Linked DNA regions of Saccharomyces cerevisiae S288C. Changing the gene in region 3 together with the main gene of any one other region gives a genetic interaction. Each region holds a gene or a part of one and is shown on either strand. Other genes may lie near its edges. The genes, in order: GCD11, FAT1, SVF1 and UBP9.

Region 1 (3,866 bases), on a different chromosome or scaffold from region 3:
AAATAAAACCTTTTCAAGGTTATATATACTCAATAGATACTGAATAATTTTGGAGCTTCATTATCTTTGTGCAATTGTCTCCATGTACAAACCACCGATAAGATTTAGTGTAGAGTATGTTGGGTGTAAAAAAAGAAAGGCAGTTTATTGACTACTGGTGTAACTAGACGATAAAGGTTTGAGAGGTTTTCATGGCATCAATGGGAAATAAATGAGTTCGAGAACTATGAGATAAATATTTGCTTAATATTATCGCGTTTAGTAATTTTTTCTTAAAAATACGTAAAACATGTTAAATATACAGTTGAATACTATGTAAGAAGGAAAAAAAAAGAAAGAAAACGTTATAAAAAGAGAATAAAGATCATCAATGTCATTACGCATCAATGTATATGAGCATATTGCAATAACCAGAAGTGTCAGTTTCCCTTCCTCCTAGCCCGTTTCTTATCTTCACTTTCTTTCAGATTAATTATGAAATTTTTGTCTTTGCAGTGGTTTTATTGGTTCCTTAAGCGATGGGTTCCAATGTAGTACCCTTTTTAATGGTTGCCCAACCAATCAAACGCCAATGCTTTTCGATACGTCTCGACAAAGCAATCTTCTCGTTAATTTCAGTACAAGCGGGCGACGTTAACTGTAATCTTGCCATATCAGCTTTAACGGCAACCACACGAGCCCCCGTAGCGGTAGAACCAATGTTGACCATAAGAACTTCATTTGGCTCTAATTTTCTGACTTTGGCTTGCTTTTGACCATCTGTTTTGACACCTAATAGACGACGTAGCAAAAAGTAGTTGATTTCGATATCAGTATAAATGTTTGGCAAATGACCCTTAGCACCGACGACTTGACCGACAAGACGATCAGCTCTACACAAGGTAGGATCAACTTTAGTACCAACACCAATCAGACCACCGGGAACAGCAAACTTCAAGTCATTTTGTTCGGCAAATAAGGAGACAATGTTAGAAAAGATTGGTTTACATTGAATTTTACCCTTATCATCCTTGGTGACAATACCTGGTCTAATCTCAATTTCATCACCTAATTTGAAAACACCATTCAAAATAGAACCACCGGCAACACCACCTTTCAGGTCCTCGATTTCAGCACCTGGCTTATTAACATCAAATGAACGAATAACAATTAACCTTGGAGAAATCATAAAATCTCTTGGTGGTACGGGAATAGTCTTGACAATAAATTCATTAACTGCGTCGATGTTATACTTCAACTGAGCGGATATTGGTACAATAGGAGCACCGTCAGCAATGGTACCTCTGATGAACTTCAAGATGGATTTTTGGTGTTCTAAGGCACTTTCTTCACGCATTAAATCGACCTTATTCTGTAAGATGATGACGTGCTTTAATTTCATGATTTCAATGGCAGCTAAATGCTCTGAGGTTTGAGGTTGTGGACAAGATTCATTACCTGCAATCAACAGTAACGCAGCATCCATAACAGCAGCACCTGATAACATAGTACTCATTAAGATATCGTGACCGGGACAGTCAACAAAAGAAACGTGACGGACCAATTTGTAACGCCCCGGACAACCTGGTCTTTGACATTTAGGACTGATTTCTTTATCAGATTTGAATGATCTATAACAATCAGGTTCGGGACATGTAGGCTCTTGACATTTATAAATTTTAGCATTAGCGTAACCTAACTTAATAGTAATGTTACGTTCTAATTCATCCTTAAAACGGACTGTTTGGACACCTGAAATAGCCCTAACTACTGTGGATTTACCGTGGGCGACATGACCGATGGTACCGATGTTTATTGTAGCTTGCCTGTTGATAATTTCGGCGGATAGTGGGTTTAATTTTGAAAAATCAGGGTTTAATGGTTGTTCGGGCAAACCACCACCTTCTTCAAATTCCCTTTTCCTTTTTTCTTCTTCAGTTTCCCCGTCTTCTTCCAAGCCAGTGAAGGCGACTTTCTTCTTTGGCTTATCAGCATCTTGTGTTTCTTGTGTTTCTTGAGCTACAACTTCCGTTTCTTCAACGATATCTGGTTCACCAACTGGTTCCAAATTACCGTTGATAATAATGCTAGGTTCTTGGTCTTGTAAGTCACTCATGTCTACCTCTAATGCGCGATGTTAACGGTGTATTACGCTCTTTCCGCCCTCTTTGCTTAGCTCCTGGTACAGGTCGAGATGAAATCTCTGTCTTTTGTACTGATGATCAGCATCGGGCTATTCTATGAAAATTTTTTCAATGGCAAATCTGGTCCGGGTTACTGACATGAGAGCAAATAATAAGCATAAATTAAAGCATATTGATATACTTCATATAACAAGTATATATCACATCACGCCAAGCTTACGCATAATGCTAGTAATAAATAGATAAACAAAGAGCGTTCTTATTGATCTAAGGTCGCCACCTTTCTACCCACACGACTGCGGTCAAAATCAATATCGAATCTTGAGTTGATGACGTTACGTTTCTTGGAATTTAGAGATGTAGCTGAAGATGCCGAAGAGGATGTGCCATCAGCATTGCCAGCAACTATTTCAATATCTGTCTCATCATCTGCTTCCAACCCATTACTTGCCACTTCCCGCGGTTGGATCTGTAAAATTTCATGGCCTGTATTTAATTTTTCCTTTTCTGTGGGAACGGAAACTGCGGAACTTGAATGATCATTGTCTGCGCTCATGGTCAAGCCATTGAAGGTTTTCTGCAAATTCTTCATCGATGGTGTTTTAGATATATTCCTACTGTCAATGTGGCCTTCCAAATCGAAAAACCCGCCATACCTGTTCAAATTTACCTGTGATGAAGAAGATGTTTTGCGGGAGCCATTGACTGTATGGCCGTTACGTTTCGGAGGATTATTGACTGCATTGTCCATTTCATACAATTTATCGACCACTGGACTGATCTTCACGCCAGTTTTATTATGAGAAGTGCCGCGTGACATCCTCCAGTAGGAACGAATTTCGCCTAACACCCAACTTAACATAAACATTAACCTGTCACCCTGTCGAAATTGCGATGTCACGGTCAAATCTACTTGATCATCTTTAATGATGTACCCTATTCCAAAGCCATGAGGTACAGCAGGAGTTATACCAAATGTCGTGGTAGCAGCATTACCACAGTTGGCAACAATCAACTCAGGCTGTGAGAAAGGTAAAACAAGTGGATTTTCGAAAAGATCTTTCGCAGCAGATGATTCATCACCACTTAAGTGGATACCAAAATGGTCATGAAATTTGAAGAGATATTTCAATGCATTGAAGTGTTTTTCATAACCTACCCCAGACTTTGCATGTTTAACCATGTTATTATGTGTTTCGCAGGTTTGGATAAATTTGTCTAATTTATCTGTCCCATCAATGGAGCTAGAAATAAACAATTGACATAGTTCCAACAGCGCTTGACTTTGAATGTTAATAAAAGATGATCTCGAGTTTTTGAAACCACGTGTGGATACTGGTTCTAATCCAAACACCATTCTTCCATACAAAGCATAGTGAGCTATTTGTAAAGCTACTTGAACCATCGAATCGGGCTTGACTCCTAATCTTTGAGCTGACCTTCTGCCCAATGGAATAGAAGCGCGAACAATATCATACTTGGAAATCAGATCAGCTAGTTTGGTTTCTGACAAATGGACATGTGTGTTCAGGATGTTACTGAAAGACCAATCGATTTTATTTACAACCAACTTAGGGTCAATTTCAGAAGGGCCTCCGCCGTCGGCACTTATGGTCGCCGTCATCAGTTTTTTAGTTTCAGGATCCATTTGTGTCACGTTAGGCCAGAGTGAAAACTGTGGGTCACCGGCGTTAACGTCTCTAGCTAATCTCAAGACTGATTCTGTATAAATTTCAGAAGTAA
Region 2 (4,272 bases), on a different chromosome or scaffold from region 3:
GATAAAAAAATCACCCTGCATTGCCTCTTTATTTGACGTTGTTTTTGTAGAACATGAAACGAATTTTGACTTGATGAGACGAAGTATATATCCAAAGAATACCTTAAATAGAAAAGGAAAGATAATAAATACTAAACACTACTATATATTCAGGTAAAATACAAAAATTATAACATTTTTAAAACTTTTTTTTTTTGAAAGTCCTTCTCGCTTTAGGATTTTTTCCCATTAAGATTATGATGGTTTCATGTATGTGTCAGTTAAAAAAAATATGGCTAAGTAGCAATGAAACGAACCAAGAAAATGAAAACAATATATAGTGCTGTTGAAATAACAAAGACATTGGTATATATTTGTAAAATGTCTGTTAAATGTTTTTTATCTCAGGTTCTTGCTTGTCTTTGGTAGAAGAAATTATAGTAAACAAACAAACAAACAAACAAAAAAAAAAAAAAAAAAATGGTCGCAATCTCAATGATTTGGTTTTTTACCAAGCGTATGCCCAGAATATTTGCATTAGCTTTTAATTTAATTTCAATATTTCTTTTGATTTTTCTTCTCATCGGCTGTTACAACCCGTCAAATCAGTCAACATTTCTAGTGAAGTATAAATTTGATGACAACTCACCTTTTTATACGATCATAGAGAAATCATATGAAAAATCAAATACAACTCTGGGCTTGGAGGAAGTCATTATAAGATCCGGTTACATGGGTGTTTGTATTGATAACATTCCCTCCCAATATAGCTCTTACAATAATATGACTACATTCTCCAATTCAATTTGCTATGCAAGAAAGAATTTAAGCTCGGTTCCCTTATACAGAGACTTGGAAATTCAACTCTCAAATATTGCATCTTCCAGCTCCAAAACCCAATCAAGCGTTGTCTTGAACATTTTGAAGTTAGCCCAATTAACTTCGGTTAATGTTATACATCCATATGTCTTGATGGCAACTGTAATCCTAACAATCCTAATGTTTCTATTTATTCTGTATGTAACTGTCCCTAAGTTACCATTCAAACTAGCGGTTAATAAATTTCTACTGTTGCTAAGTTCAACTATAGTTTTGACATGGGGTATTGGTGCGATGTGGACTCATGTAGGGATAAATGCAAGTTACAGATTGGTTCCATCATCAAGTATGAATATAATCACTGTCAAGAAGGGCAAGAAGGCAGCAGTAATGGCTTGGTTTAGCTTTGCATTCCTCCTTTTAGACAGTGTGGTTTTATGGTTAATATTTTTAAGGGATAGGAAAAGCTTGAAAGATGAAATTGATAATGTTCCATGTGCCCAAAATAGGTACAATAACTACTCTTCGGATTCATCTACATTGCATTCCAAAGTTTAGTTTTATCCTCAAATAAACATATAAGTTTTGAGCGGATATTTCAGAATGTCAATTTTTAAAAGTAAAAGGAGAAAAAATTTATATAATTCACGATTAACATTATATAATGTGATGAACTACTTAAAAAATTTAACGTTCGATAATTAAGTAACAACAGAGAAAATATGAGCTTACCTAAACTCTAATCATTACCGTCTGTTTTATTTACTGTCACCTTGATGAGCGACTAAAAAGATAGAACGCGGGTTTTTCGCGCAATGTAACAAAGCTCCAGAAATTTTTTATAAATACTAATGTTATAGCAAAAAAAATAAGGACCTTAAAGTCGTAAACTAAATTGAAAAGCCCAAATCATTCAAATTCTATATCGTTGAACTTTTAATAGGCTGCGAATACCGACTATGTCTCCCATACAGGTTGTTGTCTTTGCCTTGTCAAGGATTTTCCTGCTATTATTCAGACTTATCAAGCTAATTATAACCCCTATCCAGAAATCACTGGGTTATCTATTTGGTAATTATTTTGATGAATTAGACCGTAAATATAGATACAAGGAGGATTGGTATATTATTCCTTACTTTTTGAAAAGCGTGTTTTGTTATATCATTGATGTGAGAAGACATAGGTTTCAAAACTGGTACTTATTTATTAAACAGGTCCAACAAAATGGTGACCATTTAGCGATTAGTTACACCCGTCCCATGGCCGAAAAGGGAGAATTTCAACTCGAAACCTTTACGTATATTGAAACTTATAACATAGTGTTGAGATTGTCTCATATTTTGCATTTTGATTATAACGTTCAGGCCGGTGACTACGTGGCAATCGATTGTACTAATAAACCTCTTTTCGTATTTTTATGGCTTTCTTTGTGGAACATTGGGGCTATTCCAGCTTTTTTAAACTATAATACTAAAGGCACTCCGCTGGTTCACTCCCTAAAGATTTCCAATATTACGCAGGTATTTATTGACCCTGATGCCAGTAATCCGATCAGAGAATCGGAAGAAGAAATCAAAAACGCACTTCCTGATGTTAAATTAAACTATCTTGAAGAACAAGACTTAATGCATGAACTTTTAAATTCGCAATCACCGGAATTCTTACAACAAGACAACGTTAGGACACCACTAGGCTTGACCGATTTTAAACCCTCTATGTTAATTTATACATCTGGAACCACTGGTTTGCCTAAATCCGCTATTATGTCTTGGAGAAAATCCTCCGTAGGTTGTCAAGTTTTTGGTCATGTTTTACATATGACTAATGAAAGCACTGTGTTCACAGCCATGCCATTGTTCCATTCAACTGCTGCCTTATTAGGTGCGTGCGCCATTCTATCTCACGGTGGTTGCCTTGCGTTATCGCATAAATTTTCTGCCAGTACATTTTGGAAGCAAGTTTATTTAACAGGAGCCACGCACATCCAATATGTCGGAGAAGTCTGTAGATACCTGTTACATACGCCAATTTCTAAGTATGAAAAGATGCATAAGGTGAAGGTTGCTTATGGTAACGGGCTGAGACCTGACATCTGGCAGGACTTCAGGAAGAGGTTCAACATAGAAGTTATTGGTGAATTCTATGCCGCAACTGAAGCTCCTTTTGCTACAACTACCTTCCAGAAAGGTGACTTTGGAATTGGCGCATGTAGGAACTATGGTACTATAATTCAATGGTTTTTGTCATTCCAACAAACATTGGTAAGGATGGACCCAAATGACGATTCCGTTATATATAGAAATTCCAAGGGTTTCTGCGAAGTGGCCCCTGTTGGCGAACCAGGAGAAATGTTAATGAGAATCTTTTTCCCTAAAAAACCAGAAACATCTTTTCAAGGTTATCTTGGTAATGCCAAGGAAACAAAGTCCAAAGTTGTGAGGGATGTCTTCAGACGTGGCGATGCTTGGTATAGATGTGGAGATTTATTAAAAGCGGACGAATATGGATTATGGTATTTCCTTGATAGAATGGGTGATACTTTCAGATGGAAATCTGAAAATGTTTCCACTACTGAAGTAGAAGATCAGTTGACGGCCAGTAACAAAGAACAATATGCACAAGTTCTAGTTGTTGGTATTAAAGTACCTAAATATGAAGGTAGAGCTGGTTTTGCAGTTATTAAACTAACTGACAACTCTCTTGACATCACTGCAAAGACCAAATTATTAAATGATTCCTTGAGCCGGTTAAATCTACCGTCTTATGCTATGCCCCTATTTGTTAAATTTGTTGATGAAATTAAAATGACAGATAATCATAAAATTTTGAAGAAGGTTTATAGAGAGCAAAAATTACCAAAGGGTTTGGATGGAAATGACACTATTTTTTGGCTCAAGAATTACAAGCGCTATGAAGTCTTGACCGCTGCTGATTGGGAAGCCATCGATGCACAAACAATTAAATTATGATTTGATGTTCCTGAATTAGGATAAAGTATTTTTCCTTGCACGAGAGTACGTATGTAAACGTAATATTGATAAAGAATCAAAAAAAGTTTTATATCTATCTATATATGTACCTAATAACATATGGAAAGGATTATTTAAATTCAAAAAATAAAACAATAAAGTTTATAAACTAACCAAATTATTGTTAGAGTTGGTAATATTAGCACTTCAGTTAACTCAATACGATTGATCTTGAAACTATCGGTAACTGAATGGTTTGTTTCAGGATCACTTACGAATGATCCAGTGGAATAGTACCTTTCCATTAGAGCATCCTTCTCACTCCAAATTTTATACAGCCATTCTGAAAATTCATTCTCGTCCTCTAATGGAATATCTTTAACATCAAATGCTCTGATGTGAATATCGACTAACTTCGGGTATTTTCCTTCTAAAAATATGCTCTTCAGCCCATATATAAGCTCACCATATTCCTCCTGTTTTACACCGGAGTAGCCGATCGTAA
Region 3 (3,935 bases):
TCGTTTCCATTTTCCGACTTTGCAGATTAGATGGATCCCTAAAACGAAGTGCATAGTTGCGGTATTTTGTATTTGAGCCATTTAAAATAGTCTGGAAGGTTTTCTTTTTGATTAAATACATTTGGTGTTTCATTAAACCTGGAACAATACATATGATCACTTCATCCCGATAAATACCAAGCCCCAGGAACGTACTTACTCCTACCAGCACCTGTATTATAACCTTTTCTGAGAGTTCTTTTGTTTTGCTTGCAAGGGTATATTTCGCAGATATCCACGAAAACTTTATTCATTTGCTCAGGCTATATTACATTATATATATATATGTATGGATACATAAGAAAAATGAGATGAATAAAAACGACAACTATTTATTATGGCAACATTGTTTACTGTGGCTATTTCTCGCATCACTCTTATTTTGAACAATAGTATCGATTATGTGACGCAACAATTAAAAAGGGGTATAACGATAACTTGCTATAATTATTAAAATTTGCAATATTAGATTTGTGTAGTATTAAATCACAGATAGGAAAAAGCATACGAGACCTTCCCACTTTTGCTCATGCTTCATTGTAAGACTCCTCACTAATCACATCTGATTCAGAAATGAATGTTACTTCGGTCCAAGCTACACCGTGAATTTTCTCCCCGCCATTTATTTGTAAAGTTGAGCTTTTTGGATCAGCATATTGGTATATAAATGGCTTAGTACCAGCAACACCAGAGACGATGTTTTTAACAAAACTTGGAATTTCGCCCATCACATCAATTCTTTCAACTAGGTTGTTCAACGGACCCTCCACAACAGCACAGATCTTATTTTCTTCTGCGACGTTCTTGTATTCTTCTTCCTCTTCATCTTCCTTTTCATCTTCCTTTTCATCCTCTCCTTGTAAAGCTTGTTCAGTCCCATTCTCGGATTCCAATTGTTCATCCTTGACTTTGGTATTGATACCTTTGAAGGTGATCTTAATATCTTTTGGAACTTTCCAACCAACAGAATCAATTTCTGAGTTTAAGTGCTCAACAAGATTGTTAGTTGTCATCGCTAAAACTTCTTTATCATCGGTAATAATACCAGCAGAAATTTTAGTGTTGGCATATGATTTTGGTGTAGTGAACTCCATCAACACCGCGGAATACTTTTCGGAATGGAAAAACATGAAGTTCCATGCCTTAGCTGCGTGATGAGGCTTCATGCCTTGGAAGGCCATTATAAATGTCGAAATCGCAGGGTCTTCCTCTTTAAAAGTAATCGTACGATCTTCATAGGTGATTTCGACTTCTTCACTGTCGCTTTCTTCTTCACTACCAGATTCCTCCTCAGAATCACCAGACTCTTCATCTTCGTCTTCATTATCATCCTCATCAGCTGAGGATTCTTCTTCATCAGATTCTGGAATAACTTCTTTCTTAACTTTGATAGTACCGTGACAAGCATTCCTTGGCCAGAAAACGTGTCTCATGCTACCCCATGGTTCATTGATATTGTTACCATAATAAGTCGCAGGATCATCGCCTATCTTGGCTCCAGGGGTTAACCTTCTTATATGCAAGTCAACGACAGATAAATCACAAACACTGGATTGAATGTGATAGCTTTCACCGTCTTCACTTAATTCTACAGAAAGATTGTCGGCATAGAAGTTTGGACCTTCGATGTAAAAATTTTCCAACTTGGTGGAAGTCCAGATATTCAAATCCTCTGGATTCTTCGAGTCAAAAATTCTGAAAGTAAATTGGGATGCAGTGTGCAACCCAATGATGTTCGAATGAATAACCTGGGCAAATCCAAAGATACCTGTTTTCAAGTCACTGAAATAAAAGATAACCGATTCAACGTTTGTATGGTCAGGAGCTTGCCAAAAAAAATCTTCACGACTGGTTTCTCTGTAAGGCTGCTTATTTTTTACCCTATCAGCAACACTATGAATGTAATCTTTCCCATATTCAGGCTCAGCCATACCAGTGACTGCTGAGATCCCACCTTTTATCCACTTCAACATTATATTATATTATACAAAAGCTTATTCGTTTCTTTTTTCTTGATTCGATGCAATAAATGACTGAATCTTTTGATCTTCTACAGATTTCAAATTATCAAACGAATACAAAAGAATTCTATCAACAGGCTCTATCTATATATAACAAACGAAAAGCCGTGCTATTCGTGAATCTCAAGGAGTAATCTTGCAAGATATCCCCGAATGTTTCAATCAACCAGCTGTCATTTCGCTTTTGTTTTCTCCCACTCATCGCAAGTTTGCCTCCTCAACAACAAAAAAACAACGAAAAAAAGCGGTACTAAACCGGACCTGAAGTTCCGTGGAAAGTGAGATTTATATTATGCAGGATTTTGCTCAGATTCTCTCAAGAGCAATATCATAATGCATAAGTGATGAAAAGTATGGCAGAAACGGTGGGAGGAACCGCAGTTTTAGCTAGGATCTGGAAACAATCAGTGATTTGCCATTTAACAGCTGGGGGAATCTAAATACTTTTGAATTTTAAGGTTTCCAGCACCATGCTTCGCTTTACTGGTGCTCGCGCTATTAGAAAGTACTCTACTAGGTATGCACTCGAGCACCTGAAAGAAGGTGCTCCTCTGAAAGGGCTGTTTTCTATTGAAGGATTACAGAAAGCATGGTTCGACCGAGTGAAATATCTCGATGCAAAATTGAACGATTGTACAAATGAAGCGCAACAAAAACCCTTAGAAACTCTCATCCATGAAAATTCGAAATCTGCTTCAAAGAAACATATCGTGAACTATGCGTCATCATTGTACAACTTGAAATTTAGCATGTCTTCCCTTCAGGGATGTATCAGGACTCCGCCAGAGGAATGCCCCAGGCTAGGTCCAGAGGCGCTACTTCAGACCCCTGATTTCAATAGGACAATAAGCAATGAGCCATTGACCACTGGCAACGAACGTTTGCAAGCAGCTCTAATTTCTTCATTTGGGTCTTTGATGGAGTTCAGAACATTATTAATAAATTCAAATCTTGCTATATCAGGCGACGGGTTTACGTGGTTAGTCGCAAGACGGCAGCTCGACAAACGTGCTATGCGCAACGACATGCCAAACAGGGATATTGAATATGATAAGCTGTTTATATTGAATACGTACAATGCGGGAACTCCCTTCAACTTCTCTACATCTGGGGTAATGAATGAGCTCAATAACCAATATACCAACATGGAAAAACAACGAGCCAAAGAAGCCGGTAATCTTGAAGATTCTGAGATGACTGCCAAGCAAGCCAAGACAAAATTTATTTATGAAACCCAACAGAAAGGTTTTTCTGGGAAAGAGGTTTCATATATCCCGCTTTTAGCCATTGATGCGTCACCAAAAACATGGTTAACTGATTATGGCGTATTTGGGAAACGAGAATATTTAGAAAGGGTATGGGACTCTATAGAATGGAAAATTGTAGAGTCAAGGTTACCTCAACGTACTAAGATCCAAGCATTCAACACGTTATGAATGAAACTGGTAATGGGAATTTTTTCCTTTTGATATAAGTTGGTAGTCTCTGTAAATATATAAAGTCAAACTATTCGTAATGTGTATATAACGTGGTCTTAAATTATTTTTATTCGTATCTCTCCCTTTTATTTGCCTGGCTTTGGTGTCTCATAGCTTCTTTTCTCTCTTTTAAGCTCACTTTACTGACTTTTCCTGCCGACCTTTAGACTTTTTACTCTGCTCAGTAATTTGCTGCCCGTCGATTTCTTTTTCATATTGGGCTCATTGTAGCGCACACCCAAATAAACGTCTTCCTCATCTTCATTGTGATCATCTTGGCCGTCGAAATCAGTAGTATAATTGGACTTATGCGTTCTGTTAGGAGAATTAACGGTTTTCGACCTTCTAACACCTTCATTGCTGTGACCAACATCATAGTTGTCTCTACTTAAACTCA
Region 4 (4,496 bases), on a different chromosome or scaffold from region 3:
CTAGGGAGAAGTTAATAAATAGTAGGTTATCAAGAATTGTTTGCACCAACACGGTACCTGTTGATTTGGATTTGGACATTGTCGATCAGGTGGATATCAGCCCTACGATTGCAGAAGCTATCAGAAGATTGCATAATGGAGAATCAGTCTCATATTTATTTACACATGCGCCTGTTTAAAGAAGAGGTATAAACGAATATATTTGTATAAATGTACTAACAGATATTTTGAAAAAAAATGCGTATATCTATTCAGTATTAGCGCTTATGCTGCCACCAATATTCTTCATCTGGTCTCTATGAGATTTTCATTAAAGCTTAATCTTTTCTGATTTACCGCCCTTGCTTTTGGAAAATATGTGAAATTTTATTGTGCTCTAAAAAAAAAAAGTTATTACAGTAGGTGAAGTGAAATACAACTAAATTCGAAAGATCAGGAACAATAGAAAGAAACGTGGAAATTATTTAAAAAAGGAAGAAAAAATGGTACACTAATATTGATACTTTTAGAACAGATGGGTCTCAACTATATGATGTATCGAAACAATCCCGATTTATTTGATGAAGCTCAATATTCTCGATTTTCTTTTTTGCTTATTGCGTTTTTTATCATTTAATGGCGTCTTGGTTTCTGCAGTCTTAACTTCAGGTATATTCCCCAAGGTCTTTTTGCGTTCAATATTTGCAGCTGCCCTCAATTTACGATCCCTTAACCAATCATCGCATTTTATTAACTGTTCAATGTTATTGTCAGTCTGCATTTGATCTTGACTAGAAGTGTCTATATTTTCATTTTGATTTTCGGTCTTATCAGCCTGTGTTTCTTTATAGAATAAAACGTAGGCTGTAGTTTGATCACCTGGATGACCTGTGAATTGTAACACAGTTTCTTCTTTTATGGATTCCACCGTTTCGTCATCATACAAAAGCCACCCAAACTTTTCGTTCCTGCAAATGCATACGTAATGACCATGCTGTGGACCGCTCCCCATATGGATGACGACGCCGCTTAGTTCATATTTTTTATATACTGATGTATTAAAAGTGGAAGAAACATCCAAAGTTAGTGGATAGAGTATTTTGTTAAAAAGTTTGATGTTTGACTTTTGCTCCTCTGAATACTTGAATCTTTTTAGGTGCAATGACAGAATATGGGGCAGTTGCTTCAGTCCGACCATACGTTCTGCTTCTTGTAAACCATAACATTTGTTACAATAAAATTTGTTAACCCCGTTCAACATCTCACGCTGATGATAGCTTTTTAACATCTTCTGGATATCAGTCTCTTCATCACCCTGTACTTCTATTGGAAAGTCTAAAAATGGTTCGTCCCTTGAGGTGATATTGTCACAAGTTAAACATTTGATCCTATTCGTCAGTGTACCTTTGAATAAATCCGTTATAAAGTTGTCGTTGCTGTTGTCTGTCTTTTGTGGTCCGAATCTCATTCTGGGATTATTGCGTTGAATATATTCACTGAAATCATTTAATAAAAAGTTTAAAAATTCATGGGCATCTTGTTGCATCATAGTGTTGAACAAGACGTTTTCTTTTTTTAAAATTTTGACAAACTCTGTAGGTGAAACGATACCGGTTAGCGACAAGTTTTCAGTAATAGACTCAAATATATCTTTTAGTCCATTGTAAAGTGTAGCTTCCTCGGTTGGATAAAGTAAATGATCTACGTTAAGAACGGGGCCTCTAATTAAAGCGGCTTTTTTTCTTTGTTCACTTGTTGGAAACGTATTCTCTTTATTATTATTAGAATTGTTGACAGCATCGTTACAGCTCTCAGGGTTAACAAGGACATCATCATCCACTGATGTAATCCTACTGCCTTGTGAATCACACTGGCAATGCGAATTTGCTTGACAATCTGTAGTTGAAGCTTTTGATAAGGAATCGCTTTGCTTTAAAAGCGGTCTTCCCACAATAATTTTTTTACAGCCTTCGTGAAGCTTCTCTGTTAATGTATCAGAGGCCATTACAACTGTGTGAACAGGCTGAGGCCGTTCCATCTCATTGTTATCATCTTTCTTTGCAGAATCTTTATAGTTCGATTTATCTTTTCCAAAACCCATAAACGAGTTCCTTTTTCTTTCAAAATTATTCTGTTTTTCTTGAGTAGAAGAAGAGGAGTTATCTTGATCACTCTGCTGAAGGTGGTGGTGGTTATGTGCATCTTCATTATCATTGCTTTGGTACCCCGTATTAGAATTTCCGCTATTAGTAGATGTTTCAAAACTTTCATTAGTGAATACCCTTATTTTTGAACCCTTCAAATCACTTTTGCGTATTCTGTTTACTGCGGCTACTCTTTCAGGATATCGCAGCACATTACACCTAAATTCGGGGATATTATAAAGGCATTGTAGAACGGAGTTGCAGTAGCAAGTATTCCCAAAATTTTCATAACCAAACACTTTATTGGAACCATCCCCATATGGCATTAAATCTGTAATAGTAGTAAATAGTATGGAGGACTCTGTATCGAACGCACGATCTTCATATGTAGTCGAGGAATCGTACTCTCTTTCATCTGAAGTACTTGCCATATTATGGTAATGCTCATGGTAATGTTTATTTCCTGCAAGGTTATCCGTTTGACTACTAAACTTGCTTCTTCTTTCATGGCTCGCAAGATTAGAAGGTATGCTTGATGTACTACTCTTAGCACTTGGTGATTTCGCTATGGAGGGATCTCCAGAACCTTTCGTTTTCTTCAGGCTAGTTGCTTTCCGATTAATTTCGTCATTACCTTGAGTGTTCTTCTCCGGGTGTGACTTTTTCCTATTCACAGATAACCATCTTTTTATCATTTTTCATATGGAAGACTCGTTGCCTTTGGTAAATGTTTTAATTTTCTGTTTATTACTGATAATGCAAATACTTTTTTAAGGATCGAGCTAAGGTTTTCGACACATTCAAGCTTGTTCAAGCGAAAGGTTGAGTTCGCCCCTAGAAGTTTAATAAAATCGGAAGTTCCAAATACAGCTTCGATGGACCTTATTGAATGCAAGAGAAACGTTTTCTTGTGGGGGGGGCGTATATCGTTTGGAAAGGAACAGAAGTGCAACTTTTTCAACCCATAATAGAAATCGCGCATTGACATTAATAAACGCGATTTCCGGGGTAAAAACCGCATATAAAGTATATATGGCGTACAGGAGCCCAACTGCTTTTTCTTTTGCTGAAGGACAATTGAGATACGACAGCGTGATGCTTTGTTGGAAGGTGGCTCCTAACCCCATACATACACTGTATGATGTCAAAAAAGTACTCCGATACGGGGAGTCGAACCCCGGTCTCCACGGTGAAAGCGTGATGTGATAGCCGTTACACTATATCGGATTACAATACACGTATGTGTTGCATCTCAAAATGGAATACGTCAGTATGACAATACCCACCTAAAATATTCATAAAACACATATTGAGATGTTGGTGAATTTTAAAATAATTGTTGGGATTCATTGTTCGTAAACGCTATAATATTGCGTATACAGAATATACTAGAAGTCTCCTCGAGATATGGAATCCATAAAAGGAGAATCTGTTGGAACGAGAGTAATTAATAGTGACATGAGTTGCTATGGTAACAATCTAATGCTTACATCGTATATTAATGTACACCTCGTATACGTTTAAGTGTGATTGCGCCTATTGCAGAAGGAATGTTAAACGAGAAGCTCAGACAATACTGAAGCTGTGTTAAACACCTATTAGTTGAACATGTTATGGTAGGTACATATATGAGGAATATGAGTCGTCACATCAATGTATAGTAACTACCGGAATCACTATTATATTGGTCATGATTAATATGACCAATCGGCGTGTGTTTTATATACCTCTCTTATTTAGTATAAGAAGATCAGTAATTATTTCTTCATTAATACTATTTTTTTACCTCTAATTATCAACAGAATCGATAAATCTACATATTGTTGTTATTCTTTTTTCTTCCATTTTATATGTTCTCGTTTATTATTCTATCACGATCTGAGTCCCTGCATTTCGGCCTCCATTAAATTTGATGAGTGTTTCTCAATTTTTTATGTCATCTTCCCGCACCGTATATGATTGTATACCAGTATTATGAATATCAGTACACTAGTTGATAGATGATGGCTGATTCCTATTCCAAGAAAGTTTTACTTAAACTTTTATATTTCTACTATAGGTTCTTGTCTGAGTAACGGAAACCACCTGCTCTAACAAAATCTTAGTTTAGTTCAAGGTTACATTTGCTGCATAATCGTTGTGGTTCTGGAGTTTTATCCCGCAACGAAATTCTAATCTATGGTTGAAATTTAATTATGGAAAAACTCATTTATGATGCTAAGCAAACAGGTCTTAGTGTGAGGGGGCATTGATCTTGAAAAATAGTCAATCCTACCCGCAGAAATTACTCCACAAAGGTCTGAAAGGAGACGCTGTTGCGTATTTGATCAATGAGGTGTATACCTCTTATCTTAAGCGGTATATAATAGCTTT

The links.
Region 1: mutations in SVF1 (region 3) and GCD11 together harm fitness more than expected from each alone (negative genetic interaction), as found in Saccharomyces cerevisiae (one large-scale study listed by BioGRID).
Region 2: mutations in SVF1 (region 3) and FAT1 together harm fitness more than expected from each alone (negative genetic interaction), as found in Saccharomyces cerevisiae (2 studies listed by BioGRID).
Region 4: mutations in SVF1 (region 3) and UBP9 together harm fitness less than expected from each alone (positive genetic interaction), as found in Saccharomyces cerevisiae (one large-scale study listed by BioGRID).

What each region holds. Positions count from the first base shown.
Region 1 is NC_001137.3:203,480-207,345, reverse strand, and holds GCD11 (translation initiation factor eIF2 subunit gamma), read right to left. Parts: upstream 2,096-3,866; coding exon 512-2,095; downstream 1-511. Other genes in the region: carnitine O-acetyltransferase YAT2, read right to left, coding at 2,383-3,866. UniProt on the Saccharomyces cerevisiae protein: As a subunit of eukaryotic initiation factor 2 eIF2, involved in the early steps of protein synthesis.
Region 2 is NC_001134.8:316,509-320,780, forward strand, and holds FAT1 (long-chain fatty acid transporter FAT1), read left to right. Parts: upstream 1-1,757; coding exon 1,758-3,767; downstream 3,768-4,272. Other genes in the region: ATP3 (F1F0 ATP synthase subunit gamma), read left to right, coding at 1-2; FIG1 (Fig1p), read left to right, coding at 460-1,356; CST26 (putative acyltransferase), read right to left, coding at 3,908-4,272. UniProt on the Saccharomyces cerevisiae protein: Acyl-CoA synthetase required for both the import of long chain fatty acids (LCFAs) (C14-C18) and the activation very long chain fatty acids (VLCFAs) (C20-C26) by esterification of the fatty acids into metabolically active CoA-thioesters for subsequent degradation or incorporation into phospholipids.
Region 3 is NC_001136.10:1,166,648-1,170,582, forward strand, and holds SVF1 (Svf1p), read right to left. Parts: upstream 2,013-3,935; coding exon 567-2,012; downstream 1-566. Other genes in the region: mitochondrial 37S ribosomal protein mS43 MRP1, read left to right, coding at 2,531-3,496; PAL1 (Pal1p), read right to left, coding at 3,679-3,935. UniProt on the Saccharomyces cerevisiae protein: Ceramide-binding protein that may transfer ceramides from the endoplasmic reticulum membrane to the cis-Golgi network membrane, and is thereby required for the biosynthesis of complex sphingolipids. Required for survival in response to oxidative stress.
Region 4 is NC_001137.3:353,788-358,283, reverse strand, and holds UBP9 (putative ubiquitin-specific protease UBP9), read right to left. Parts: upstream 2,819-4,496; coding exon 554-2,818; downstream 1-553. Other genes in the region: ribose phosphate diphosphokinase subunit PRS2, read left to right, coding at 1-179.